Linked DNA regions of Diceros bicornis minor. The protein of the gene in region 2 purifies or fractionates together with the protein of the main gene of each other region. This does not show direct contact. Links are inferred from orthologs where the notes say so. Each region holds a gene or a part of one and is shown on either strand. Other genes may lie near its edges. The genes, in order: ASH1L, MORF4L2, ACTL6A and EPC2.

What was found.
Region 1: the proteins of MORF4L2 (region 2) and ASH1L purify together in Homo sapiens (affinity purification with mass spectrometry; 5 studies listed by BioGRID and IntAct, counting the BioPlex papers as one, with this or other methods). This does not show direct contact. The link is inferred for Diceros bicornis minor from reciprocal best matches to the Homo sapiens genes MORF4L2 and ASH1L.
Region 3: the proteins of MORF4L2 (region 2) and ACTL6A purify together in Homo sapiens (affinity purification with mass spectrometry; 5 studies listed by BioGRID and IntAct, with this or other methods). This does not show direct contact. The link is inferred for Diceros bicornis minor from reciprocal best matches to the Homo sapiens genes MORF4L2 and ACTL6A.
Region 4: the proteins of MORF4L2 (region 2) and EPC2 purify together in Homo sapiens (affinity purification with mass spectrometry; 5 studies listed by BioGRID and IntAct, counting the BioPlex papers as one, with this or other methods). This does not show direct contact. The link is inferred for Diceros bicornis minor from reciprocal best matches to the Homo sapiens genes MORF4L2 and EPC2.

The regions. Positions count from the first base shown.
Region 1 is NC_080743.1:59,406,806-59,413,695, reverse strand, and holds the start of ASH1L (histone-lysine N-methyltransferase ASH1L), read left to right. Parts: upstream 1-3,871; 5' UTR 3,872-4,033; coding exon of another isoform or gene 4,034-4,138; 5' UTR 4,139-4,164; intron 4,165-6,890. Other genes in the region: DAP3 (small ribosomal subunit protein mS29), read right to left, coding at 3,026-3,277. UniProt on the Homo sapiens protein: Histone methyltransferase specifically trimethylating 'Lys-36' of histone H3 forming H3K36me3. Also monomethylates 'Lys-9' of histone H3 (H3K9me1) in vitro. The physiological significance of the H3K9me1 activity is unclear.
Region 2 is NC_080781.1:96,707,514-96,715,249, forward strand, and holds the start of MORF4L2 (mortality factor 4-like protein 2), read right to left. Parts: upstream 3,004-7,736; 5' UTR 2,911-3,003; intron 1,519-2,910; 5' UTR 1,429-1,518; intron 1-1,428. UniProt on the Homo sapiens protein: Component of the NuA4 histone acetyltransferase complex which is involved in transcriptional activation of select genes principally by acetylation of nucleosomal histone H4 and H2A.
Region 3 is NC_080754.1:43,459,549-43,466,746, forward strand, and holds the start of ACTL6A (actin-like protein 6A), read right to left. Parts: upstream 3,001-7,198; 5' UTR 2,868-3,000; coding exon 2,843-2,867; intron 1-2,842.
Region 4 is NC_080749.1:32,913,007-32,919,971, reverse strand, and holds the start of EPC2 (enhancer of polycomb homolog 2), read right to left. Parts: upstream 3,006-6,965; 5' UTR 2,738-3,005; coding exon 2,585-2,737; intron 1-2,584. UniProt on the Homo sapiens protein: May play a role in transcription or DNA repair.

The DNA.
Region 1 (6,890 bases), on a different chromosome or scaffold from region 2:
GTGTAACCTTGAGCAAATTACTTAAACTTTGTCTCTGTTTCTTCATTTCTAAAATGGAGATAACGGCAGCATCTAAATATAGAATTGTTACAAGGATTAAATGATTTATAAGTTATCAGTTTATTACTACACCTAAGTTTCTCCAGTTTACACAGCTACCAAGGAGCAGAGCTAGGCCTTGAACCCAGGCAGTCTGAAGTGTACATTTCTACTTTGATAGAAGGCAATAACCTGAAGCATAAGTTTAAAATCTTGGTGCCCAAACAAAAATTTCAGAGTTCTTCCCTTGTTACATAGAAAATTATTTAGATTATTATGCTTATACAGCATTTACCCATAACTTGTCAAATGTAAAGTCAATCCTGATGATATTCTAGTAAGTTTTATCTTCAAAAATTTCTTTTAACATTTGAAACCTTATTTTAAAAGTTTATATTGAAGAGCTTCTCCTGTTTATCTATATTGTATTTAGATAACATCCCAGCAAGGAAGCACCATGAAATAAATGTTTAATTACTTCTATTCCAGTGAGGAAGTCTGAGGGCAGCTTAGCTAAGACTGCTGCTGTACAGCAATATCCCAGAGCCCAGCAGTGTATTTACAGCTTGGAAACTGATGCCAGGAGAAGCAGAACAGTAGGGAAATACTGGAAATCTAGGCAGTTTTGTTGAGTGCCTATCACTTTGCTTAAAGAAAAGTTTCAGTTAACCCATACCCTCATTTACATTAAAGCACAGACCACAATCCAAGGCAGAGTACTTTGGAGGTTAATAATGATTTGACTCTTTCTGTATTAGTTTCCTATTGCTGCTGTGACAAATTACCACAACCTTAGTGGCATAAAACAACACAAATTTGTCATCTTAGGGTTCTGTGTTTAGAAGTGCAAAATCAAAGTGTCTTGCAGGGTTGTATTATTTCTGGAGGCTCTAGTAGAGAATCTGCTTTATTGACTTTTCCAGTTTTTAGAGGCTGCCCTTTCATCTTCAAAGCCTGCAAGAGCCAGTCAAGTCTTTGTCATATTGCATCACTCTGACAGACTCTTCTGTCTTCCTCTTCCATCTTTTCAAAACTCTTGTAATTCCAGTGGGCCTATCAGATAATCCAGGATAATCTCCCTATTTTAAGGTTAGCTGATTAGCAACCTTAATGCCACCTGCATCCTTAATTCCCTCTTGCTATGTAACATAACATATTCACAGGTTCTAGGAATTAGGACATGGACATCTTGGGGGAACCATTAGTCTGTCTTCCAAGCCTTCCTTGGTTCAAATAATTCAGTGTTCACTCATTCAATATGGTCATTTTATTGAGCACTTAATATATTTTAGTTGCTAGTAGGCACTGGGGCATATGCAAAAGAACAGAATACTATCCTATTTGCCTATACTTAGCCGACAATTCATGAATCAGTGGAGTTACTGAATGCTAGTTGAAGGCAGAGACCCTAAGTATGTAACTTTCTTTATATACTGGTGTAGCGGAATTCCATTAGAAGTGTTTTTTCTTTGTAGTGTACACAATTATGTTACTGATGAGAAATTTTACACGAAGGCAATGTGGTATAGTGAAAAAAGTTAGGTTTTTAAGAGACAGGCAAACTAAAGTCTAAAGATAAAATTACTGGACTTCTCTGAGCCTCAGGCTTCTCATCTGTAAAATGTGAATAAGATGATCCATCTCAAAGTGTTGTTTATTATAAGGATTAAAAACAAACACATGTTCTTCTGGCATGGTATTCCACAAATGTTAATTCTCCTTCTCTTCTCATATTTTAAGTATCTAACATTCATTTCAACATTTTCCTAACTTGCTTTGCACTAGACTATAGAAAAAATGTTAGACATAGTCCTTGCTCTCAAATTAAAAACGTGGTTGGTAGAGTAACACACTTGCATACATGACACAATTAAAGATTAATGTAAAACTTCAATGGGCTCCATGAAAGACTTGGCACTTAAGACACAGTTAGGAAAAGCAAATATATAGTGAGGTAATTAAGGCTGAATTCCTCTTTACCTTAAAAAAACAAAGCAAGCAAACAAAGCCTGGTCCATATATTGAAATATGGTACGGGGGAAATTCAGGAGTGTCTACTTGAACTTCAGAGCTTGACTAGACCTTTGAGATTTAATCTAGCACAATGATTTTCAAACTATTCCCTGGATCCCCTGAAATTCACAGATGTGAAGAAAAGGGACACCCAAGTAAATCCCCTCCCTAATTTTTTCTGCTTTACTGGTTAGGTGAAACTAAAAACTAGTAGATTAGATAAACTTCGGGATTATCTGTGGATTTTAATAGTCCATAGTTCTCCTGAATTCCATCATCAAGTAAACGTTCGTGCAGGATTCTGAGAAACAAGTATTAGTAACCACAGAAATCTGATAGGCCTAGTTTTGCTTTGTTTTATTAACGACTTGGTTAGAATAGGACACAAACTACCAATTACACCCACAAACCTTATCAACATCAACAGAACAATAACATAATACTCTGCACTTTCCCTGTGCCTAGGAGCTAATTCTACTTTACATATATTATTTCACACACCAATTCCAAAGGCAGATTTGGAGTTAACTAATTTTTATGTCTAGTTTTTCGTTTCTTCTTGATAAGGAATTAAGAAAAATAACTTTCCGAAGGACACATAAGACACGGGCGATTCAGTCCAAAACTCAACTGGAAATACGTGATTCCTTATCCTCTAACATCAGGCTGCCTAATGAGATTGAAAATGTAGTAGCCATGCAGGAGGAAAAAGTAAAAGTGCACAGAAACACCATCGCGTATAGACAGTTGTGCGAAATGCGAGAAATCTAAGCTGAGCTAAAAAAAGAAAAAAAAAGAAAGCCGACCACGGCGCCGGTTCTTCTTTGGGTCCCAAGTCTGCAACATAGAACCCGGAAAAAAGCCCCCTAGGACGGTCGCCGGTCCTCCTGGCCTCACTCCCTACCTCACGGAGGTGCGGAGTCCCGCTCCTTTCCCTCATGGGTACAACCCCCGCGCCGGTCTATTCCCTCACCGAGAGTCGCGGACCAATTCTCCCGACGCGGCGAACAGCAGATACTATCAAAAGCTGCTCCGTAGTGCTCGTCCCGCAGCAAAGAAGCAAGCTCGGGTCGAACGGCAGGAAGCTACTCAACGCGCAGCCGCCGCGGCCTCCAACCGCCGGCCAGCGGAGGGGGGCTAGGCCGCCCCCGACCCACTCGCCGCGGCCGTGAGGAGGAGGGGGGAGGCGAGCCGCGGCGCCCCGGCCCGGGAGGTGAGTAGCCATGGGTCTCTGTCCGCCACTCAGATAATTCCAGTCTTAGCGGCAAGCTCTGCCTGCTTTTGCCTACCTTTTCCTCCCCCGCTCCTGCAGCCGACAGGAATGGAACAGTCCCGCGGGGGGATTGTGGGAGGCGCACGCGCGAGGGGTGGAGGGTATGTGGGGGGGGCCGGAGGAGGAGGCGGCGGCGGCGGCCGTGGCGGCGGTTGGTGGCCGTGGGGGCGGGGAAGGGGGGGAGGAAAGACGAGGAGGTGGAGGAGGAGGCTTGGGCTCGCGCCGCTGAAGGTACGCGTGAGGGCCCGTGCCAGAGCCGGCTTGACAGGGGCCGAGGGGAAGTGGGGGACCGTGCGAGGAGGCGCCCCTGAGCGAGCGCGTACGGGCTGGCTGGCGCGCAAGGCGGCCGGAGGCGGTGGTTGGTGGGAGCGGCGAGCGACGAGCCCAGATACACTCCGGCGCGTGCGGGCGGGCGTGCGCGTTTCGCCGCCCGAGTCGGGTGAGGGGGGAGGACGGAGGGGAAGAACGCGAGGAGGGAGGAGTGGGAGGTGGGGGGGGGCACGAGGCGCCCTTCGCTCGCTCCCTCCCTCCCGAGGAGCTGCCGCCGCCGCCGCTCTGCCGCCGCCGCTCCCGCCGCCATTTTGGGTTCGCTTTGCGGAGGGGGAGACGATCCCCGTCTGGGTTGCGGGACCCGCCTCCCCTCAGTTTCCCTTGCTTGGCCCCACGCCTTTCCCTTCTCCTCTCTCGCATTTCCGCCAGTCCGCTCACCCGCTGGCCGCCTCCTGACAAGCGGGAGGGATCCACTGTGGACCAAGGGAAGCGGAGGAGCCTAGTGGCGGCCGCCCCCTCTTCCCCACTTCCCTGCACTCTCATCTTTCTCGGCCTCGGCCTCTGACACGGTGAGTAGAACCGCTTGGGGAGGCCTTTGGGCCTAAGTACTCCCTCCGCGACTCAATCCTTGGCTTCTTGGGAGCTACTGTCATCTCCCGGACCTGGACCTCCGGGAGAGCGGTGGTAAGGATGGGGGAGGGGAGAGAAGGGAAGGGGATCCTGAGCTTACCGGGAAGTCCCTCCTGGCGGGGGTGAAGGGGTGTCCCTGACAGGCGGGCTCCTGGCTTGGGGGAGGGGGCAGGAAAGTAAGCGAGTGGAGGCGGAGTCGGCTGTGCCCCTGACAGGTTAGTTTGTGTGTTGTGTAGACACGATTGGAGCATCCCCCGTAGTCCAGTCTGTGGCTGTTTAAGGAATAAGACTGGCAGGAGGGCTGATCTTTCGAGAGTAGTTTACCTGTATGATCAGGTGTGTGTCGTCCCTGACATGCTGAACTGTATGTAGGAAAGACAGAATGATTTCAGTGTTATAAGTTTAATAAATGTTACTGGTTACTTTGTACATGGAAAGACATGTTTTTGGTCTGGAAGACAGATGGTCTGCTGGTGTATGGCGGCTGTGTTTGTGTGTGTATGCAAGGAAGGAAAGTGTTCCGGAAGAGTTTGCTTGTGTTTGTGTAAGTGTAATGGAGTTCCCCTTATAAGTTAGCTTATTTTTGAAATAAAACTTGGGATATTCCCTGCTGGCTGATGTGTGTGTGTATTTTAGGTATTGGGAGCGCCTTGTTACCTGTTGGGAAAGAGAAGTCACAGCAGTATTTTAGACAATATAGCATATATTTGTGGGAGAAACTTAAACTGCTTGTGGTCTTAAGAGTAGTTTGTTCCTCTGAACAGAGTGAATTGTGTAAATGTGAAGGTCTAGAATATCTTTAACAGAATAGTTACTATGAGGGTATAAAGAATGGATGGCCTTTTTGTTGACCTGAGTTTATATTAACGCTTTATAATAGAATAACGCTGTTATATTTTTCAGATTTTAAATCTTTAAATTCTAAATCTCTTTGTGATTCTAAATATCTGTGAAATGGTAGAATAGATGTTTTCTCCCATTTTACACAATACGAAATTGAGGCATAAAGAGATAATTTTTCGAAGGTGGCATGTTAAATTGGTTACAAAGTTGGGACTATAACTCCAGTATTTTGACTACTAGTCCAGCAGTGTATTCACTATACCATGATGCCTCAGGAGGTCTTTGTCAGGCAAATCTGAGTTTATTGGAAAGGTAAGGGCTTATATGACTGGTTGGATTGTATTTGGTAGAGATCAGTTATGTCAGACATGTATGTGGAATGTAGGTTGTCCTTTCCAGGTTGGCCTGTGTGAAATGGTTATCCTTGATTATTTTTTGTTTATGAAGGAAGCAGAGCATTTCTGACACTTGAGTTTGTGTGTTTGAGGAAGGGATGTCTTCTGTAGTTTAACTTGTACTAGAGCAGCTACCTGGGGCCTGACAGCTTAACTTTAAATGTATGGGAAGAAGGATCTTCTTTCATTCGTTCAACAAATATTTGTTGAATAACTACTCGTTATATACTGTTCCTGCCTTGGGGTGAGAGTAATCAAGGTGACCCTGTTGAAACAGCCTGGATGCATATGAGGGGACTTGTCTTGACAGTGGTATATGTATTAAGTCAGGCAAAGCAGACAAGTCAGTGGGAAATTGAAACTAGAAAACCTTCCTAAAAAGTCTTTTCAGTTTGGAGGGAATTTAGATCTTCCAGACATTTTAATGTGGAAGGATACAAGTGTATTTAAGAATCCAACAGGATGGCCAGTTTGTGATAATGTGTGCCTTCTTTTGCATTATCTTTTGGCATTTATGAGTAAACAGTTTTTGGGATCTGGGAATTGTTGATATATGTGTCTGTAGATATTGGAACTTTTTGGCAGAGCTGAAGGAATTCTTCGAAAGACTTAATTTTGTAGTAAGGATCCCCTCTATGAATATGAAGGAAGAATATTTGAACTAAACCAACTTAACTGTGTCTCTCTGGAAAATGGAATGTTTTTGATATGCTAGATTAGTGGTTCTTAAAGTTTTTTGGAGTCACTTGTCCTTCTGAGAATCTGATGAAAGACCCTCACTGTACAAAATGAGCATAAGCACAGTCACACAAATGGTGCATACAATTTCAGGAACTTAAACTGTAATGAAGTAGAACCAATTTATATTCAGGTCTCATTTGAAAGCCTTTTTATATATATATATATGTATATATTTATATATATTTATATATATATATGTATATACTTATATATATTTATATATATATTTATATATATATACTTTGGGAGTGGACATGTTGATATGAGTTTAAGATCCAAGATTCTGTGACAGTGTTTGAGCATGCTGACAGTAAGGAGAATTTTAAGATCCATGTTTTTTATTCTTTTTGTTTTATTCTTTATTCTTTGCAAACTTATTTCTGTAGTGTTAGAACATGCTTCTGAATTAGGTGATAAGAGAATATAGCACAAGTGTTTATAGCTTTATTCTTTCTCATTGTGTTTTTATTCTCAAACTCATCTCTATCCAGTTTTGCATTGGGACTGAGGTGTTTTGAAGCTCATTTCGTGGAATTTATCTTATTTATAACAAACATTATTGAGTTAATTCTATGCAGGGGACACAAATATGAGTAATAAAATAATAGGCTTTTAATCCTATTGAAGCTATGAATTGTATGATGGCAGGGGCTTTCAAAAGGGCAAGGAGGAGGGAAGCATGGTCC
Region 2 (7,736 bases):
TTCAGTTAATTATCACTGTGTATCGTATCCTTTGTAGGCATACCATTCGGACTGGTTTCCCTCCTTCTAGGTTCTGCCCATCCTCAGAGGCTCAGGTCAAGGTTCTTTTCCTCCTTGAGGCTTTCTCCATTTCAGGCTACCCTGGCCTTTGCCTTCTCTGAGCTCCTATTGGCCCAACAGTCCACCTCCCTTCCTTTAGCCCTTAAATCATTCTCCAAATGGTCTCCTGTAAAGGGATTTTGTGCCTACCCATCTACTGCATCTTTTCCACCAGGGCAGTGCCCTCCTCTGCAACCTAGCTTTCAGAAGGGAGAAAAATAAGAAAAATATAGTGACTCCATGGGAAAATGAAGCTGTCAAGAGAGTGAAAACATTCCTTCATCTCCTCATGCAAGTGATGGACCATTCAGGAATGCAGACTCCAAATGCTAACACCTTTGTGTATGGGTGTTACAAATGAGTGTGAACAACATCTACAGTTTGTTGGAATAAACCTTTAAATGCACATACACCCTGTTAGTTACATTTACATCAATTCTCTCTCTTTTCGATCTTGGAACACTTCCTTTATGTTTAACAGACATTTTTGAGTCCGAGACAAAGAAGGAATGATATAAAAGCTGTTAGCAGACTGAATATGGTTATTATTTGCTAGTTAAAATTATAGCTCCTGGAAATTCCCTTATAAATAAATATGATCAATATACTCAAAATCTTTCTAGATTGTTAGGACAAGCCAGAAGTCATAATTTCAGAATTCAGTTCTAGTGGTAACTGCTGCTTCTGGAAAATCAGGAGAGAAACCAAAAGTATTATTATTTTTTTACAATTCCAAAAAGAAGTATCCACTGCTTTTAGAAGTGTAAGTGTGCATGTGTGTGTAAAACAGGATGTACCAGAAAGACTAATAGAGCCATAATTATTATTAAAGCAAACACAGTGCCAAGCACTGTCCTGGTACTTTACATATAATCCCCTTAACAATCCTATGAAGTAGGAACTATTATTATCTTTATTTTATATACCAGGAAATTCAGGGACAAAGTGTGTAAGCATCTTGCCCAGGATCACATAAGAAGTGGCAGAGCCAGGATTTAAATTCGGTAAGTCAGCATTTGCTCTTAACCACTAAATTATGCTGCATGTGAGATGCCACAAAGTGAGAAAAACACTATATGAATGTATGTAACTAACTATAGGGGATCAATTGCAGTATCTTTTATCAAGGAATTAAAAATTACACAACCCTCTGTTGTTCAGGCGCTTTCTATACTGGAAGCACCAATGGACTTAGCTCCATCCTCCCCTTAGAATTTAGAGTGCTTTCCCGGATAGGCGCTTATTTATCTTCAAAATATTTCTGGATAGTTAGGAATGTTGTGTGAAATTATCTTGTTTGAGAACTGAGGCCAGAAGGGAGGCACTTACCCAAGTTTCTGTAATCAGGGACGGTTCTGCAATCAGGATCAGATCTTCTGATCCCTACTATATAGCAAACTTAGCTTTTCTGATGATAGCCTAGAAGGTCAAACAAGGGGACAGGACAGGACATAAAATAAAAAGACATGAGATGATGGTTTTCTCTTCTATCAGTCAATACATTTTATCACACACAAAGGACAACAGAGCTGATAAATAATGTACAAGTGTTTCTTTTTCCTTTCTTGGGGTTATATTTTCAAATTTTTCGTACATTCATCCTGATTTTTGACAAAGTAATTTGTTTTTGCCTTTTTTTTACTTTTTATTGAGAATAACTTCAAATGGATAGAAATGTAAAGGGAATATTACAAACCTACCCAAATTTATCATCCAGCTTCAACAATTACCAACTGAAGGCCATTTTGTTTCATCTATAACCCCACCCACCGCTCCCCCCAACTCCGATTTTTTTTAAGTTCACTGAATAGCTGACTTTCTGTATTTTATTATGGAAAATTTCAAACACATACCAATAAAAACAGAATATAAGGAACCCCACATGCCCATCACTCAGCTTAAACGATTACTAACTTAGGGCCAATTTTGTTCCATCTATACCCCTCCCCACTTCCCCCTACCGCTGAGATTATTTTGAAGCAAATTCTAGTCATCAACGTATTTTGAAACCAATTCCAGATATTTTATGACTTAATCCGTAAATATTTTCATACATATTTCTACAAGATAAAGACTATTTGAAAACATAACCACAATATCATTATAACGTCTAAAAAATCGACATCAATTCCTTAAAAAAACATCAAATATCGAATCCGTCTTCAAATTTCCCCGACGCATCCTAAGCAGTTTTTTTTTTCCCACAGCTGGTGTGCTCGAATAAGGATCCAAACAAGGCCTACTTATTGCATGTGGTTCATCTCCAGCTCGCTCTCGTTCTCCATCTCTTTCTCCCCCTCCTCCTTTTTTTAAACTTTTCAATATGGAAAATTCCAATCCTCGCTATTTGAGGTAATTCCCAATTAGCAAATTATTTCATGAGTAAAGATTTATATGTCTCTCTTATATCTCTAATTTCTTCTAAAGAAGAAGTTGATGGGCAGGAAAAGCACTATAATGAACGAATTCACATAATTTATGTTTTTCCTCATTCTGTTACGCGGGTTTTTCTCTCCACAATCATGGTTAATATCTTTCGGAGCCAGGCTTCGTATTAAGTGCCTTATATACACGCATATACAGTACACGCCTCTGAGACACAGGTCTCTGAGGTAGATACTATTATTGTCACCATTTTACAAACATGGAAACCGAGACACAGAAAGAACAGGAGCCAGCCTAAGCTGGGCGTTGGCGAGTAGGAATTTGAATCCAGCTCTGCTCGATTGTGAAGCCATTAGTTAACCTTGTCTATATACACGACGATAAGAGGAAATCGTCAACCCTTTCTCCCCACCCCCACCCCGAAACCTGAAACGAGAATCCAGTTCTTTCCAGCAGCCGACGTGTGATCACTGCCGTCCCTCCAACCGCCATAGTAAAGCCAGGTTTCTCTGGCAACTGATATCCATAGGCAGACACGTCACCCTGGAGGCGGGCTTATGCCCTTCAGCCAATAACAATCGTCTCGTCTAAGTTTTAGAATGTTCCATTATCAAATGATTGGACGAGGCCCACCACGTCAGCAATGACACTCCGCCGCAGTAAAGGCAGGCGCTAGCAACCTGCTTCTTCACGGTTAAGGCTTAGGGCAAGCCAATCATCTTCCTCCTTTAGTGCGGGCTCTGGCCAATGACGTTCGCCCCCTTAGGTTCTGAGCCCGCCCTCCAAAAGCGCGACAGTCGTTGGGTCATAAGTCTATAGGGCAGGGTGTTCACGTGGCCTATTTTCACGACCCAGAGTTCCGCTTTGACCAGAGGTTTATTTTTTTTTTTATTTTTTTTTTCCTGCACGGAGGCATTATGGGTTTTTTTTTTTCCCCACTGGGAAAGGAAGTGTCTACGTGGCCTGCGGAAACGGGATGGGCGGAAATGAGCTAAGGTTCCCGCGAGTGGGGAAGCGCGAGGTCAAACGTGGGGCCACGCCCCCGAGCCTCGCGCAACTCTTGGAGGAAAAAAAAGGAAGAATGGGGGTTTTGACATGTGTATGAGTCGGGGTGGTGGGTGCTGCGGCCGCGTGGTGTGGGGGCTAGTGTATAGGTGCGCGGGCGAGCTTGCATGGCCTTGCGGTTGGAGTGTGTGCGCGCGCCAGTCCTCGTGGCGCTGCAGGTGGTGGGTGTGCGCAGGCGTGCGCCTCTAACGTTGGGCCCGGCGTGTGTCCGGCAGCTAGGGTATGCGTGCCTCAGTGCGTACGTGTGCGCGCGCTCTATATAGATGGCTCTATACTTTTGCATATGTTTGAAAATTGTTCTAATGAAAAGGAAAATAAAGTCAAGGCGACCGTAACAGAAATAAAGGGCCTTTGCTAGAAATATTTAGGTCTCCCCTAGCGATTTAATTTTAGACCCTAAAAATACACTTTCTTCCCACGTTTTTCTCCGTGCCAAAATCCTGTTTTAAACCATTGCCCTCCAGTGGTTAAGAGCCAAACCCTCCCATTCCCATATTAGCAATTCCAAAGAGCCGCTTCTTTCCTGTTGCCTGGAACCCCCCCCCCCAAGTTGCGTGCAATTCTCCTGGCACAAATATAATTTTATGCTGAGAATATCTATATACGACAGCCTTCCCCTATACTAGACACTCCGAATTTCTGTGGGGGCTGAAGCTCTCTTACCTTTTTGTCCTTAGCTCCAAGCACAGTGCCCTTCAGGCAAGTACGCACTCAGTTAATTTTCCAGAAAGTTCTCTGGGTGAGGTTTATACCTTTTGAGTCTGCCACTAGATGCCGCCAAATCCCAGCAAAGGATTGGCTGTTTGGTCCCTGGAATTATGGGATTTTGTCCCCCCCTCTTTCTGATTTGCTGGACTCTTCAAACAATCCATAGGGATCATGTATATCTATCTTTGCTAGGGAAAAATGAAATTAACTTCTCGAAATACCCCTACCAGGCAGAGGCGTATGGGCAGAGAATCAAATGTTTTTCCTTATTTTCTTCTTTAAAAAAAAAAATCCCCCCTCCATCCCTCTTTTCTTCCTTCCTTGCCTTTTTTGGGGGGTCAGAATTCATTAATTACCCCAGACACTGCTGCTGATGAAGATTGTAACCCTTTCTGTGCACCTTTTCAAATGCTCACCATCTCCCCCAATGGAAAATATAGGTAGCTGTTTAGTCAGTAAAGACACATAAGAACTTGGACCCTGATATTGAAAACTGATCTTTTCCTCTTGAAATTTTAATTAGGTATGCGTGTTCGCACCCTATTTTCTATAGTGGTATTGCTAAACTTTATTATGTCTCTGGAGTCAGAGACCTAATTTTAAACCCCATTCCACCACTTACTAGCTCTGAGACCCTGGATTTATGTTTTGTGATTCTTAGTTTTTTGCATGCTTTCTATATTTTAGATGTGTGATATCCTTCACATGGGTATTCTTTTATTCCTCACAAAATCCTTATTAGGAGTACTAATATATCAAAATCAAAAAACAAAAATTATACCTCTTTCAGTTATCAATCATATACATGAGTGTGTGTGTGCACACATACACAGGGGAGGGGGGTAGAATTTAGAGGAGTTCTCAAAGTGTGTTTCCCAGACACACCATTAACACCATTATTATCTTTTGAAAAGTTGTCAGAAATTTAGATTCTCAGGCCTCACCTCAAACCTAGTGAATCAGAAATTCTAGGAGTAGAGTTTGGCTATCTGTGTTATAACAAACTGTGTTGGTGATTCCAATGCGCACTGAAGTTAAAACCACTGCTTTGGAGGGTGGAAATATGATGCTTATTTTTGTACACTCCACTAGAGGGTGCTACAGAATGTAAAGCAAAATTATTTTTTTTTATTGAGACACCCTACATATTATCAGTCCCCTTTTACAGATTAAAAACTAATGTGTAAAGGTGTCAAATTGTTTTCCCAGTGCATACAAAAAGTATGGGAACCAGGATTTGAACTTTACCTGCCTCTGGAGCCCAAGCCCTTGACAATACTCTGTTGTTCAGCCATAATAGCTTGTCTTTCTGGGCCTCAGACTACATTACAGATACCTTGTTTCCTGCTTTGGCTAATGTTGACTACAGCGTCAAGAAGAAGGCAGGAAAGCAAACCAAATGAATGGAAATATTTTGATGATTTTGTGCCCTTCCTAATCTCCATTCTATAATAAGATATCACATAAAAGTTCATAAGTGTTTCCCTTCTTGCTTTTATGTTTCCCAAATGCTCTCCACTCTGCAGTTATCTTTTTGACTTTATGTCTGAACCTCTCCTATGTGTGAGGAAGGAATCAGGGGGGTGAGGAAACACAGTTGCTGAAAGCCTATTATGGGCCACATACTCTATATAGCTCTCTACCCATTAATCCCAAGAATAGGTCTGTAAATTAGGTGATGCTTATCATCATTTTATACACGGTGAAAGTGAGTTCTAGAGACTATAATTATTTTTCTTTTGTCATGTATGTTGTAAGTAGCGGAGCCTGGGTAATTCCTGGTATATCCAACCCTACTATCCTGCTAAACTATCTACTGCTAGGTTTTGAATCTGGTTTAGTTACTATTAATGTGACTTTCAACAAGTTCTTTAACTTTTCTGAGCCTTAGTTTCACCATATATTAAATGGGAGCAATTATTCCTGCTTCATAATCTTAGAGCTGCACTATCTAATATGGTAGCCACTAGACACATATTGCTATTTAAATTAAGTAAAATTAAAAATTCAGTTCCTCAGTTGCACTAACCACATTTCAAGGGCTCAATAGCTACTTACAGCTAGTATTAGTATCATATTAGATACCAACAGATACAGAACATTCTCACCATCACAGTAAGTTCCAGTGGACAGTGCTGATTTAGAGTATATAAGGTATGTAAAAGGGCATAGCATAGTGTATATTTCATAGCAGGTGCCCAAGAGAAGTGATTTTCTCTGCTCTTTCAGCATCAGAGCTAGAGGTGTTCTCCTGTTTTATTGATGGGGTCAGGAAAGGGTAGTAACTTACCCAACATACTATAACAGGGTATGTGTCTGGCATTGGGACCCACATCTCCTGACTCTTGCTCCAATATTCTGTCAAGTAAACCCATCCTTATGCTCTACTGGGTGAAGTCTCAGGGCCAACGGTGTGAATAATGTGAATTAACTTTGGATTAGGAGAGTAGCAGAAAAAGACATAGTAACTGAATGCCTTCTATGTGCCAGGCAGCACCATGCTCAGCACTTTACATCTTTTATCTTAGTGAATCCTCACTGAAGTCCAGAGAAGTTAAGTACTCACGCCAACTTGCCAGTGAGTAAATGGCAGAGCAAAGATTCAGACTTCTCTCTGACTCCAAAGCCCTGTTTTTTCCCATTATGCCATGCTACCCTCTCAAATGTGAATACTCTCTTGCCCCTTCCACTTACTAGTGGGAGAAAGCTTCAGCAGATTCCTGACTCTTAGTGGGTTCTCAGAACATACAAGTTACTCTTCTCCATCTCGGATTTACAGTTGAACCATTGTCTTCGTAATCGATTTCAACTGGAAGAGAAAGATAGTTTAGGTCAATGTTTGTTTGGCTTAAAGGCTCAAGGCCAGACAGAGACTATTTATGGTCCCAGCCTTCACAGAACACCAAGATCTCCATGTTAATTTTCAAGGCCATTATTTGCTCATACAATACCTTTGTGCTAATTAGAAACATGCTACCTGGGGGCAGAAAAATTGCAGAGAAGTGTTCACTTCAGTGGAAAATGAGAAAAATACTTTTCTTTCTCAAGGATGTTGAAGCCTTCGCAGGGCAGCTGAAGAATGAATTTTAGCTTCCACTTGTTCCCTCTCAATGGGATACCCTTGTGCAGGGTGCAACCTGCCTTGCCCAACAGTATTTGCTGGCCTTGCTTGTTTTACCTCGTGGCTAAGAGTCTTCCTAGGTCTGGTAGGTAGTGGCCAGTCTATTCTGGAGGGTGGAGAGAGACACCAGTGTCCTCTCATGGCTTCTGCGTGGTAGATGAAATTGGTTCATTCTAAGGTTAATTTGATATTTTTTTCATTTGATTCTGACTAGCTTATTGAATGATTTTTTAAAAGAATGTTTGGCTAATTTAAAAGTGAAAAAAAAAACCCTGATATTTCAAGTCTAAGCAAAATGGTATTTCTTTAATAACAGTGAGTGTTTTTCTTTAATAACAGTGTTTTTCTATCTATTTAT
Region 3 (7,198 bases), on a different chromosome or scaffold from region 2:
TTTGAATTTTATCTTGTGGATGATGAGAAACCACTGAATGATTCTCCTCTTTCTTTTCATTGAAGGATTTATGTACCAAAATGTTCAGAGTTACAATTTTAATGTTCAGTTACAATTTTGAAAGATCACAGTGCAGCAGTTTGAAAGGTGGATTGAGAAGGTGAAGAGACAGAAGCACAATACCTGTAGGGAACTGTAGTAGTTCCCTGTTAAGAGTCTGAATCAAGGCAGTGGCAATGGTGTTTAAGAGGAAGGAATTTCAGAAATATTTAGCAGAGGGCTGGCCCCGTGGCTTGGTGGTTAAGTGCGCACGCTCCACTACTGGCGGCCCGGGTTCGGATCCCGGGTGCGCACCGACGCACCGCTTGTCTAGCCATGCTGAGGCCGCGTCCCACATACAGCAACTAGAAGGATGTGCAGCTATGACATACAACTATCCACTGGGGCTTTGTGGGGGGGGGGGGGGAGGGGGAGTGGCAATAGATGTTAGCTCAGAGCTGGTCTTCCTCAGCAAAAAGAGGATTAGCATGGATGTTAGCTCAGGGCTGATCTTCCTCACAAAAAAATAAAAAATAAATAAATAAAACTGGGAAAAAAAACTTAAAAAAAAGAAATATTTAGCAGAAATATTTGGCAGAACTTGATGAAGGGTATGAAACATGAAGGCATTCACGATTCTCAGGTTTGTGCCTCTGATGACTGGGGACACTCACTGTAATAAGCCCTGCTGAGATCAGGTTGGGCAGGACAGGGAGAAGAAGACAGTGCTTCAGATATGTCGAATTTGAGGTACCCATGGGACTTCAGGTGGAACTGATGTTGATGTACATAAGAAGTCCGAGATATGGCTCTAGACAAAGGTGAGGGCTTGAGAGAGAGATTTGAGATTGGAATTACTAATATTTAGATAGAAGTTGGGGCTGTAGGAGCGGAGCAGATTACCTAAGAAAGGGTAAACTAGGAGCGGGGTCTCTGGCCTCCCCAAGGAGTCCAAGCATAGAACTATATTTTATTATAATTGGTTTCTTTTATAATCTATTTAAAAGCTTGAAAAATGACCTATGGAGAAACCAAAAACCTTTTTTTTTTAAATGGGAAACAGTTTTACTGAAATGCCTTTTCATCTTCCCAGAGATTCTTACTCCCCACTTACTAGAAAGTTATATAACTTTGGACTGGTTACTTGATCTTTTCTATACCTCGTTTTCTTCTTCAATAATATGGGAATAGTAGTACCATCTCCTGCGGTTGTTGTGGATTAACTGAATTAATGTATGTTTTAAATAAATTCCATGAAAAGCCTCTGGAACAGTTCTTGGTACACAGCATGCAATCAATAAACGTTAGCTGCTGGCATTATTCGTACCCATTTCTACCTCAGTCATATTAAACAAGGCCTTGTAAGGAAATACTCAATAGACAGCCTCTAGGTGCTTGGATCAGGGAACCTGCAGGTCAGTAGAGCCCACGGCCCCCATGAGGCAAAGGCACGTAGATCCAGTTTTTCTGTCAGGACTGCATCTCAGATGGGGAAGAGGGAAATCATGGAGATCCACTAGGCTTTCTCCAAAGTAAAAATGGGAAACTACTGACTCTCACATTTGAGAAATCAAACCCAAGAACACTAACGCGAAGGAGGGGGTGAGCGTCAGCATCTCACCTCAGAAGAGACTCAAGCTACACTCTAAAGACTACTAACAACTTTGAAAACTTTATTTTTATCTCCTACCTATAAAATGCCATCCTCTTCCGAAACAGTATCCTTACTAGACACAATAACAAAAGCAACACTTTGGATTTGTCTCCTTGTTCTGTAACTCATCAAACACAACACAAAACACGAATCAAATACATCGGTGCTTCATCTAGGTATCTCGCAAAACCGGAGGCTCTGATTCAGTAGATTTCGAGATGGGCTTGAGATGCTGCATCTCCGAAAAGCTTGCAGGTGATGCTGACACCGTTGATCCATGGACCAACATCATCTCACTTAACCTTCGCAACCACCCCACTGGGTAGGAACCATCATTCCAAAAATAAGGAGCCTCAAGTTGGGAAAAGTTAAGTAACTTAACTTGGCCTTTGCCCGAGGCCAAAGCGCTAAACAAACGGGGAGGCTGGTATTACAACCACGTCTGTGTAACTCCCAGGCCCGTAGTAATCTGTCTATCACACCACTGCCTATCCAAGGAAAGCATCCTTAAATTACTTGCGTTCCTAAATTAATCCGAACAAACCCGCCCCCGAGTAACTCTGGAGAAGCCACACTCAACAGACAGGCAGAAGTTACTGGAAGGTGTGAAGCCGGGGGCGGACGGACAAAAGGCTGCGTCCTCAGTGGCCGCCGCTCCTCCGACCAGTTCCACCTCCCGCGCTCGCTTTACCGTCTACGGGACGGCGCGGAAACGCTCCGTCCGCGCTTGCTAAGTGCTGGGACCTCCCAAGTTTAAACGCGCGCGCACGCGCCCCGACAGCCGAGTGATGGAGACACTGGGAGAGACGCGACCTGGGGCCGGTCACTCAAGCCGGGGCTCAGCGGGCCGGCCCCCTGGATGGAGCTGCCAACACAGCCCCGAGGCGGCGCGCACCCCCGAACCCCTGCTCCTCCGGGGGGCGAGGCTGGAAGGAGCCGCAGGGGGCGGCGACTCCGGGCGCCCGAGGCGCTCGCTGAGCCGGGTGGGCTCCGGGGCCGGGCGGAGCGCGGGGCGGGGATGGGGCGGGGAGGCCGGGGTCCCGAAAGGGGGAGACCGGAAGGGGCCGCCGGGGAGGGGAGGGCTGGGGGCGGCGGTTACAAACCCTACACGTTAAAAAGGCGCGCTCTCTCGTCCGGCCGCACACTCACCTCCCCCGTACACGCCGCCGCTCATGGCTGCTCTCGGCGCGACTCCTACGCTACAGGCTACCGGGCGAAGTGACTGCAACGGCCGCGACTGTGGGCCCCGAGAAGCGCTAGCCCCCGACCCCCTTAACTTCCACCGCTACCCTGCTCCGGCAACAAAGCAGCGTCCACACGCCCCAGAGCGCAGTCACACTTGCTGTCTCCGCTTATCAGCCAATCACTAGAGGACCGGCTACGCTTCAGCCAATCAGAACGAGGCTGTGCTGCATCCCTGTCGCGGCACAGCCAGTTTACCCAATCGAAGGCAGCCATGGGGGCGGGGAGAGGGGAAAGCGACGGAAGGAGAAAAGGAGTTGAGTTGCGGAACTGGAGGGGGGCGGAGCTTCCCAGGTGGGTGGGAGAGTGGGGTGGAGGGAGCGGGAGAGGGAGGAGGAGGGAGGGAAGTGACGGGGGCGGACCCAAGGGTAAGGCTGAGGCGAGGAGGAGAGATGGGAATCCAGTGGGGATCTGGTGGACGAAGGTGAACCTCTGCAAAACGGAGTCAGGAAATTGAGAGAGAGTGTCTCCACGCAGTGATTCCTGGTTTTGGATTGCGGTGAATGCAGAATTTTTTTTTTTCAGAGAAAGTGTTTTCAACTAACTTTTGTATTGAAGAAACTGAAATGTTATGCTCCATTTTGGGGTAAGAGGAATCGGTAAATCAGACAAACCGATAGGATCTTGTAATTTTTAAAATGGTTATTAATAATTAAAAGAAGAAAAGGATGATACGCTATCCCAACTAAATTTAGGTAGCACTTTAAAAATTATTTTTAAAGGTGTGATCAATTTATTTTAGCCTGTGAGACAGGCATAAAACAGTGTAATCAATCATCCAAGCGAGTACCCAATCCTAAATACATCCCCAGTCTGTCTACTGTTCTTAGTTCCCCGTTTCTCCCAGCCCAGTCCAGATCACCGGTGTCTCTCTGCTAGATGACTACAATGGCTTGTCCCTTTGCCTCTTGGCCAGCGGCAGGCAGCAGCTTGATCTATAAAAACACCCAAATCTGGTCATGTCACTCCAACTCAAATCCTTAAGATTGGTTGTATATCCTTGTTGTTGATAGCAGTTCTTAAATGGTTTGTCTAGAGTCTAAACATACCGTATAGGCTCCTCTTAATCTTAATCTAGGAACAGTTGAATAAAGCCGGATTCATCGTGGTGCCAGCAGCTAGTAGAAAGTGATAGTAAGGTGGGCAACAAGGCTAGTGAGAAAACCTCCATTCATTTAATAATATAATCTCAGTATATCTGATCATTTAGGAAATCCCCATTAACCCAGTGACATAATGCAAAGGTCAGCAAACTATGGCCTCAGGGCCAAATCCAACCTGCTTTCCGTTTTTTTATGGCCTGGGAGCTAAGAATGGTTATTCCATTTTTAAATGTTTTTTTTTTTTATAATTTTTATTTATTTATTTTTTTCCCCCAAAGCCCCAGTACATAGTTGTATGTCATAGCTACACATCCTTCTGGTTGCTGTATGTGGGCTGCAGCCTCAGCGTGGCGGGACAAGCGGTGTGTTGGTGCACGCCCAGGATCCAAACCGGGGCCGCCAGCAGCAGAGCTCATGTACTTAACTGCTAAGCCACGGGGGCTGGCCCTAAATGGTTTTTAAGAATGTTTTTAAGGATAATATTTTGTGACATGTGAAAATTATATGAAATTCACATTTCAGTGACCATAAACTAAGTTTTCTTGGAACACAGCCAAGCTTATTCATTTATGGCTGCTGTTGCTCTGTAAGGGCAGAGTTGAGTAGTTATGACAGAGACCATGTGGCACACTAAGTTGAAGAACATATTTTCTATTGGACCCCTTATAGAAAGCGATTACCCACCCTGAGATAATGCATATAACACGTCCAGCACAGTGCACCAAGTGCTCTGTGTTAACTGTTGCCCCCATGATTATAGCTCTCACTGTAGGCACATATCAAACCCCCAAAATATTTCTATTTCCACTTCATGTTTTTGGTTTTTCTCTTTTTGCTGAGGAAGATTCACCCTGACCTAACATCTGTGCCAGTCTTCCTCTATTTTGTATGTGGGTTGCTGCCACAGCATGGCCACTGACAAGTGGTGTTAGGTCCACACCCGGAAACTGAACCTGGGCTGCCAAAGTGGAGTGCACCAAACTTAACCACTAGGCCACAGGGCCGGCCCTTCCACTCCATGTTTTTTTGTTGTGTTTGACTAATAAAGCTGATGAGTTCTAAAATATGTGATACTTTGGTAATAATTAAATATTGAAGAGATACTATTTGTGTTTATAATACACAGTAATCCATTTAAACCAATTTACCATTTAAATGCATAGTAATTCATATATAGCAACTTAGATTATATGTATTAATATCTCTCATCAGTACTATCTCCAAAATCTCCTGTGCATGGAGAAATAAGATATATTTGGATTGAAAAAGAGTAAAACATTTGTCCCACTAGTTCAGAGTTCATCAGAAAACAAAACAGTTCAGTGGGGTTAATGAGGACCACACGCCTAGCCTTCAGGAAGGCTTGAGATGCTGCGACTGACTCCTCCCACAGAGAACACACTGGAGTGCCGAGAATCTTCAGTCTGACAGCACAAAGAAGACAGCTTGAGAAAAGACTGGAAAGTCAGGCTTCAATATTTTTGCTTAAAGGAAGGGTTTTGCTTCATTTGATAATTTGGAAAGATATTAGAAAACAGATCATTCATTCAATCATAATTTCAGGTCAGCTGTTCTCTTGATGTGTTATTGAACACATTACTTTATTTAATAACAAACCATTGAAATGAACTTCAAATGAAATGAACTTCAGAGTACATCTGATATGTCAGGACTAATCACATGTTAATGCAGATAAAAGTGCACACTTAAACCTCTCATAAATGTTAATCAGCAAAAGATGTAATAGGGCGCTAAGATTATTGACCCTAAAGTATTGAATTGCTGGAGGAAGACACTGTTGAGAAAGGAAACGTATTCAGCATCCTAAGAGAACAATGTCGGGGACTGGCATCCTCAGTGATGTTTCCTTTGAGGCAAGACGTATACTATGGCACCTTGTTTTCTTCCATTCTTCAGAGTTAGGAAAAATGCTAGAAAATATTTTAAAAGAAAAATACTGACCCAGCAGAATCTACTTTATAAAATATAAAATATCTGAGGGGTGGTTTTTTTTGTATTAATATTCCTCCTCTGTAACCTAACATGTTTTCTCCCAAGTCTTGGCTCATTATTGGCTCATTAATGTAAAGCCTACATTAATGCTACTGATAGCTAGTCATATTTAAAAACAACAACAACTCAAGGTTACTGCCTCTGCGTCAATTCTCAAGGGCATAACATACCAAAACAATCAATGCTTGCTACTTTCCTCCCGGAGCCAGCATATTCCGTTTGTCAACCTAAAAATAAAAGATATTGAAGTAACATGTATGTAAACCTATCTAGCCCCCAGTAGATGCTCAGTGGTTGACTCAGAATCCAGATCTATAAAAATAAGTGCCCTTTCAGAAATCCTTTGTAATCTTCCAGCATCAAGAATTTCCTCTGTATACGCAGTGCAACACTTAGTTTCGCCTCACGGGGTCGCTGGTCTTCCATTCTTGTAACGCTGCACTAGAATGCATGTAATGCTGCCCCCTCCTCTTTTCACCAGCTCTGTTCAGATTGTGGAAACACAGCAGTCATTACAAAATGTTACTGATCTTGTCCTCTGTCTTGGCCTTCATCAAGTTCAGAGTTGAAAAAACATTGCAACTGTTATTAATGCCAGCTGGGAAACATTCAGGGGATTATCATTAAGAAGAATGACACAAAAATTTGTGTACATTTAGAATCACTCTATTTCATGCTGCAAAAAAATATGACATTAGTAATTATGAAAAACAAATTTCAATGTAAACATTTTTGTGTGGATGTGTGTGTGTAAAGAGTCACTGCAAGTACTATCCTTTGTGTACTGACATTCCAAAAATATAACAGTCATGCAAGCACTCCTGAGATAAAGGATAAAGACCTGGAGTCTGGAGTTTTTCACCAATAGAAATATGATCACTCAGATTCATACATCTGTTTTCCATTAGAATTGTAAGAGATCTGCTAACCATTTTAAGTAATATGACCTAGATATACAAAGAAGCAAATGAAATTATATTTGGTCATAGCTGGTACCTTTATAACATGCCAATGAGTTTGTTATAGTATTAACAAAGTAATCCTGAAAAGACAAAAACGGAAAGAAGATGAAGTGCTAGATGCTCTGTGGATTTTGTAAGTCTTTACTGTTATATTGTTATCCCTTTAAAAATCTCTGTTCATTTGA
Region 4 (6,965 bases), on a different chromosome or scaffold from region 2:
TTCCCGGGTTCGGATCCCTGGCATGGACCTAGGCACCACTTATCAAGCCATGCTGTGGCGGCGTCCCATATTAAGTAGAGGAAGATGGGCATGGATGTTAGCCCAGGGTCAACCTTCCTCAGCAAAAAAAAAAAAAAAGAGGATTGGCAACAGATGTTAGCTTAGGGCTAATCTTCCTCAAAAAAAAAAAAAAAAACTTATAAAGGTAACTAGTTAGAACATGTTGATAATGGAAATTAAACTGAAATACAACTCTAGTGAAACACAAAATATTTCTGAAATTTATGATATTTTACTGCTGCTTAGAACTGTTTATCAAAGCAAAACATTTTTCTTTAAATGAGCAAATAATTCTGCTTAATAACAGAAGTTCTGTAATTATGACTGGGAGAATTGAATTGGCTGTCACTCACGAAAGCACAAGTCTTCTGACTTACATGTTAATTTAAAAAAGAAAAAGAAAAAACTAACACCCTAATTGGACATTCTGGGAAGCAAAAGACTTATAAATCTTAACTGTCAGGAATTCTTTAGTTTTGTTTTGATTTTAAGAACCTCCACTTGAACATTAAAGAGGCAGACAGGACAAAAAGTCAGAAGTCCTAGGTTTCAATTCTAGTTCTACCAGAATTTGGATTTCTTCCTAAAATTGAGCAGTTGAAGCAGGCTACTTAAAATAATCCAACTTTAGCACTCATGCTCTAGATTGAAAATCACAAGTTTTACTGAAAAAGTCAATAGTACAAAATTGTGATGACGTTAAGCATTTATTTTTAATACATCACTAAAAAAAACTAAACTGCAAATTTTCTTCCTAAATTCAGATAAAATATCAAGATCTACGTGACAAACTAAGGACCTAAAGCAATAATTAAGTATAGCTAATCATTGTTTGCAAAACCTAATACATCGTCCAGGGGCTAACTGTTCATTCTAGAACAAGTTTCTTGATTCAAATTCTTCCCAAAACAAAATAATAGGATCCAAGTAATTACATATATTATTGATACTTTAAGACTCATAAGCCACTTTTCTTTTGGGGTCGAAACCCAGAAAATAACTAACAGAAATTTAACATTTTGGAATCCAAACCGGTGGTTTTTAAAGTTTAATTCAATTAATTCTTGTACATACTACAACTTTCTTAATTATCTTTCCCATGGAAAAATGAGCTAAGTTAGAAATAATTTTTACTTAAAAAACAAAAAGAATTCTCAGGAAGTACTTATCTCTAAACCTTAAGGATAAACGTCGAGTTTTCATCTTATTTATTTAAAAAAAGTTGAACGTTGAATATTCATTCTGATACTACCGCCATATTCATTTTCTACTGAAAGTGCAAAACATTCAAGCAATCAAACACTAAAGAGAAATGTGATTAAATCACAGCAAAGATTAGTAATAACAGGGTAATACAATGAGGTCAGAACTCGAGCAGCCAATCAGAGGCATAAAAGCATTTCCTGCAATATTAACAGTTAAAAGAGAAAACCAATCACAGAAACCTCGAGCTTTCTTTTGACAGTCACAGAAGCAAGAGAACCAATCCACGCACACCCGGGGTTGACAATAAGGCGGGACCGCAGGTTCATTGAAGAAATTCTGGAGGGTGCAGTTACTATGAACTTCGCACGCAAGTAACACCACTCCAGAGTCATAAACACTGTCATGCCAGATGAAATCCAACCGTATGCAAAATTCAACCAATCAGGGAGGAAAAAAGCAACATTTTTGCCAAAAAGCGCTGTACTATTAAAAATGCAACTGTCAATTTACATGCACTAGATCTTCAACTTCTAAAAGACCCCCCCCTCCGATGACAATCACCGGAGACGCGGCACGGGGATAGCGCAGCGCCGGCAGCTCGTTGCTGAGCATCCCCGCTTCCTTCCTAACGCTGCGCACTGAGCTGGCGCATCCCGGTGAGGCAGGCAGGCAGAGCCGTCCCGCTCGGGGCCGCGGAGCCGGCCGGTCAGCAGCTCTCTAACGCTACATGCCGCTGGACAGTCGCGGCCCCCGCCTCCCCCGCCGCAGTGCTGCACCGCCTCTCCCCGCTGCACCACCGCGGGCCAGGGAGCGAGGATTACCTTGCTAGGAGAAAGATGACGGGTGTTTTGAAAGCGCTTTACTTTCCATAAGTCATTTCAAAGAGAACCCAGTGCAAAACTAAATTTTAAGTGAGGGGGAAAAAAAAATCTTCCCTAATCAAAAGATCCCTCGCCCATTAATCAACCCCGCGCCGAATGAGGGGGGAAAAAAAAAGGTAAACAGAGGCCATACGCCAAGTGCGGCCAGAACATCCCCTGCGCCATTCCCGGCCGCCGCTTACGGCAAGGCCCCCTTACGGCAGCGTAAGCAGCGCTGCGAGCTAATCACAACACTGGGACGCAACAACATGGCGGCCGCGGGCGGGCGCTGCGCCGGCCGAGAGGGTTTACGCTACTCCGCCGGCGTAGAGTCCCATGCGTTGGAGCGGCAGCGGCGCCCTCCAGCGAGCGTAAAGCGCTCTGTGAATGGCGAGGCCCGACTGACAAAAGGGAGGGGGGAGGAGGGAAGGGGGGGTAATAAACACTCGAGTCCCTACCGATTCCTCCTCCTTCTCCATCCCGGTGGGCATCTGGGGCACGGCCCGGTTGATGGAGACGCAGTCGTTGAGATCAGGCATGTCCTTGCCGCGGTAGATAGGCAGCGGTTTGGCGGCGTCCAGCGCCCGCGCTCGGAAGGAGAGTTTACTCATTGTCTCCCCGCCTTACAGGAACAGCCCGGGCGGCGGCGGCGGGGCGGGCGGGGAGGGGGGGAGGACTCCCGCCGCCTCCTCCACCTCCTTCCTCAGTGCAGCGCGGCCGGCCCGCTCCTCCTCCTCCTCCTCACTGCCCCCGGCCACAGCATGGGCGCCCACCCCGCCCGAAAACAGCCCCCCGCCGCCCGCGGCCGCTTCCACACACTAGATCCGCCGCTCGCCCGCCCGATCCGCTCCCTGCGCCATGGCCAACATGGCGGACATTACCACAGCGGCGGCGAGCGATCCCGGCAGCCCGCGCGAGAGCGCGCCCCCGCCGCGGGGACGCGCCTCGCCCTCGCCCTCCCTCCCTCCCTCCTTCCTCTCCCTTCCCCTCCCTCGCCTGCCCACCCACTCTCTCCGCGGCGCGGCCGGCCCGCGGGAGCGTGCTCAGCCTCCGGCCGCTCTGGGGCACAAGGGGGCGGCGGCCGCGGCGGCTTTCCGCTCGCCGGCCGGCGCTCTCGCCGTGTGGCAGGTGCCAGGTGCGCAAGTTAACCCGCGCCCCCGAGCGTGCGCCTCTGTCTCCGCGGCCGCGACAGCCCTCTCGCTGGGCGCCCGGGAGGAAGGCGCCGAGCAGCGCGTGTGTGCAGAAGTGTGTGAGCGGGAAAGGGAGACGTCAACCAGGGCCACAGTAGCCGCCACCGAGCCTGCACTTATAAAGCGCTTATCTCCAAGGCGCCGCGAGCGCCGGCTAATTCGCATCCTCCAATTTGCGCGTCCCCGGGACGTGCGGAAGGTCCATGCCGTCTGCCCACTCAGAGGGGCGCAGACCTGCCGCGTCTCGCCCGCCCCGAAAACGCGCACTCAGAGCCAGCCCTCTTTCCCGCACCCCCTCTTCACTACCTAACCGAAAGAGCTCTCCAAGGTAAGGCATCCTCGCCTTCGCGGGGAGGATGCTAATGGCAGCAGTGAGGGTTCATGTTTGAGGCTGCCAGACGCAACAAGTGCCCTTGAACCTGTCCCCCAAACTTCATAGAGTTATTTAGTGGATGGTGGATACTGACTTCAAAAATATTAGCCTTCCTAAGAGTTAAACTTATAAAATTTAACCAAGGCAGCACACATTTCCAAAGTGGCAGATGTGCGTAAAACATTGAGTGCCGTGGAAGACTCAAAGAAGTTTGAGATCAAGTTCCTGCCTTCATGGAGCGTTCACCTTATTGGGATGACAGGACGGTTGGAAAGATGGATAGTAGTAAGAGATGTAAATAGTTGAAGAACAAGGCAACTGGAAAGATAAATGATAGCAGAAGTAAGTACTTGAAGAAAACTATACAAGAAAGATGACACAGGCACTAGAACATGATTAATTACCAAATGAGTTGTACTGGCAATAATTGCCAGGAAAGTTCAGAGAAAGGAGGCGTTACTTTAGCCTGAGCTGGTTAGAGAAAGTTCTAAAGAGAAGGGAAAATCAAGTTGACTCAAATAAGTACCAGGTATTGTTGACATCAACCTCATTTAACCAAGTTTCTTGGTTAGTCTTTAAGCATTACAGTTTTCCTACAAAATCCCTGGAAGAGTGTAACTCATGTTACCATTTCTAATAATTGATTAATGTTCTGCCTAGCTCTGAGAAAAGTAGATGGTTTCTGAAGTCCAGAAGTCAAAAAAATTGATTCCTGCAGTCATTTCTGTATGACATCAAAACTCTCTTCCTCCATTACCTCCTCTTTCTCATCCACGTCTTCCCTTCTCCCTTTTTCCTCCTCTTCCTCCTCCCTTTTCTCTCCACCTCCCGCTTTGAAGGCAAAATGATGAATATGGACTTCATGGCAGTGTCTAAATAGTCTAACTGTTTGGCCCAGCAAGACTTCCAGCATTGTTTAGCCGGGCTTGAGTGTTTTCCATCCACTTTGTTGTTGGAAACAATGGAGATGCTGTGACTCACTTCTTGTAAGCAATACCTTCCTCAAGCTTATAGGCATGTCCTGCTCTGAGCGATACCCTCTGGAGCAGTTCCAGTTCTCTGCAAGGGAGAACAAGACGTTGTTGGGAAGGGGTCAGCACTGGATTCAAGCCTGAAAGGGAGGAGGTGTGGGGAAGCGATGTTTGAAGAAATGAGTCATCCAGGGCTTTTATTTGAGTGCCCAGCACTTCTCAGGCTCAGAAGGGATAGCTTTCTTCTATTCCCTGTATTTATTGTTACTCTGTCTCAAGAAAGGAAGTATTGAATATTGAAAATATACCAGTCTCTATAGTGGTACTTTATATATATTATCTCAATTAATTGCAGTCCACTTAATTCTCATTATAACCCTATGAGGAAATATTATAATTTTACTAATAAGGAAACTAAGGCTCAGATAATTTGCCAAGTTTCAACACTAATAACTCACAGAACTGGGTTCAAATCCAGGTCTAGCCTGACTCCAAAACTCTTGTTTTCTCCACATTGCCAAGCTGCTGTCCAAGCTCTTCGGTTTATTGACCATTCAACATTCTAAAGTTGCTGATCCAAATTACTGAGACTTTTTAACCAATAGCCAATAGAGTGCATAACCCAGAGCCTAGAGATGCGATAGCCTCAAGGAGGGCAGGAACTACATCTGCTCCCTTATTCACTGTATCCCTAGTTCTGTGCCTCACACATAGCAGGCACCTAATATATATCTGTTGACTGATATTCCCTAGAGAAATTCAGTGACACTGACCCCATTCCACTCCAGCTTGGAGTTCACCTACCTTATTGGCCTGTCACCTGACCTAGCCATTGCTGCCCATACTCGCTCTTATCATGGCCTACATTTCTCTCCAGCTTCCTACCTTTGGGCATAGGAATTTTAGAACCAATTAAAGCAATTCAAAGAAATTTTTTTGAAACCTGAAATTCTATTAGAGGAACAGGTTTTAACTGGAGTAGTTGTTGTTTTGTTGTTCTTTTTCTTTGACCATGTAACAGATTTCTTCCCCAAATCTCCACTTTCCTCTTGCCCTGTAGGTAATGATTATAGCTGGGAATAAAACAGTTTGAGGCAAATAACACAATACGCTTTTTAAGTGAGACACAGCCTGTGTTTTCTTGGCTTCCGATTCAGTGCCCAAACCAGAATGCCTCTGTTTCACATTTGGAAAGTAGCTTTTATTTGTATACAAATATTATTTTTCATAAAGTTTATTTCTAATCTATTTGTTGAATACCCATATACTTGTTTGTGCTAAAAACAGAAAATATCTTTTTAACTTTTGAAGTAGATCCTGTTATAAAATATCTTTATCAAAACCTGTTTCAAATGATTGTGCAGCCTAATAGCCTATTTTAATTTCCACATACAATGCACTGAGTACAGTCATTCCCAAATCTGTCCACTTCAAATATGCTCTGGACCAATTCCAAATGACATGCATTTAGCCAAGCAAGTGTAGTGTAACAACACCCAAGAATTAAAAATAGTTTTAAAGCCATATCAAAAATAAAACCACTGTCTACATGTAGTCTAAATTAGAATAAAGATCAAGTAAGTGTAAGAATTGGGATTATATTCCAGTTTCCATTTCCCCATATTACAGTCAGGGCAGGCAGCTTCCAAATAATAAATTACTTTTTGAAAGGAAATTTAATACTAGTAAACACAGTTGTTATTCAGTTATTTCAGAGTTTTGTAAATGTCACATTCTTTCTAATTGGCTCCCTATTTCGGCAAACCCAATTGAAAGTTAATTGGGTTGGTATGTGGACTGCATCCCCACCCCTCCCCCTTATGTTCCCAGGAATGAGCCCAGTACCAATAAAGCTTCATTGTTTTCCATATGTAATCTGAATGTGGGGTCTGCTTTCATTACAATCAACTGGAATCAGCCCCCTGGTTCCAGTGCCCTTTACTGAGGCAACTCTGAATCTTTGAGACATAGGGAGGGAGACTGCACTCAGTGGTGACATGCCAAACATCTACTTCCACCTTTATATTTACCGTAGTGGGAAAACCAGACGCTAAATAAAAATTTGTGGCTATGGCTCGGTCTCTTAGCAGCATCGCTCCTCTCAGACCTGGTTGGAATCACAGGGTGCCACCTTGTGTATAAGCTGACGATTTACTTCCCAGTTCCACAAAGGATCCAGATAGGCTCAAAAATAATCAGCCCGAAAACTCTGTATTTTATTAACCAAGGAAAAAATGAGACAGATGTAATTGAAGGAAACAGATTTGCAAACACACAGCTCCAGAGGGTCCACGACACTCAATTT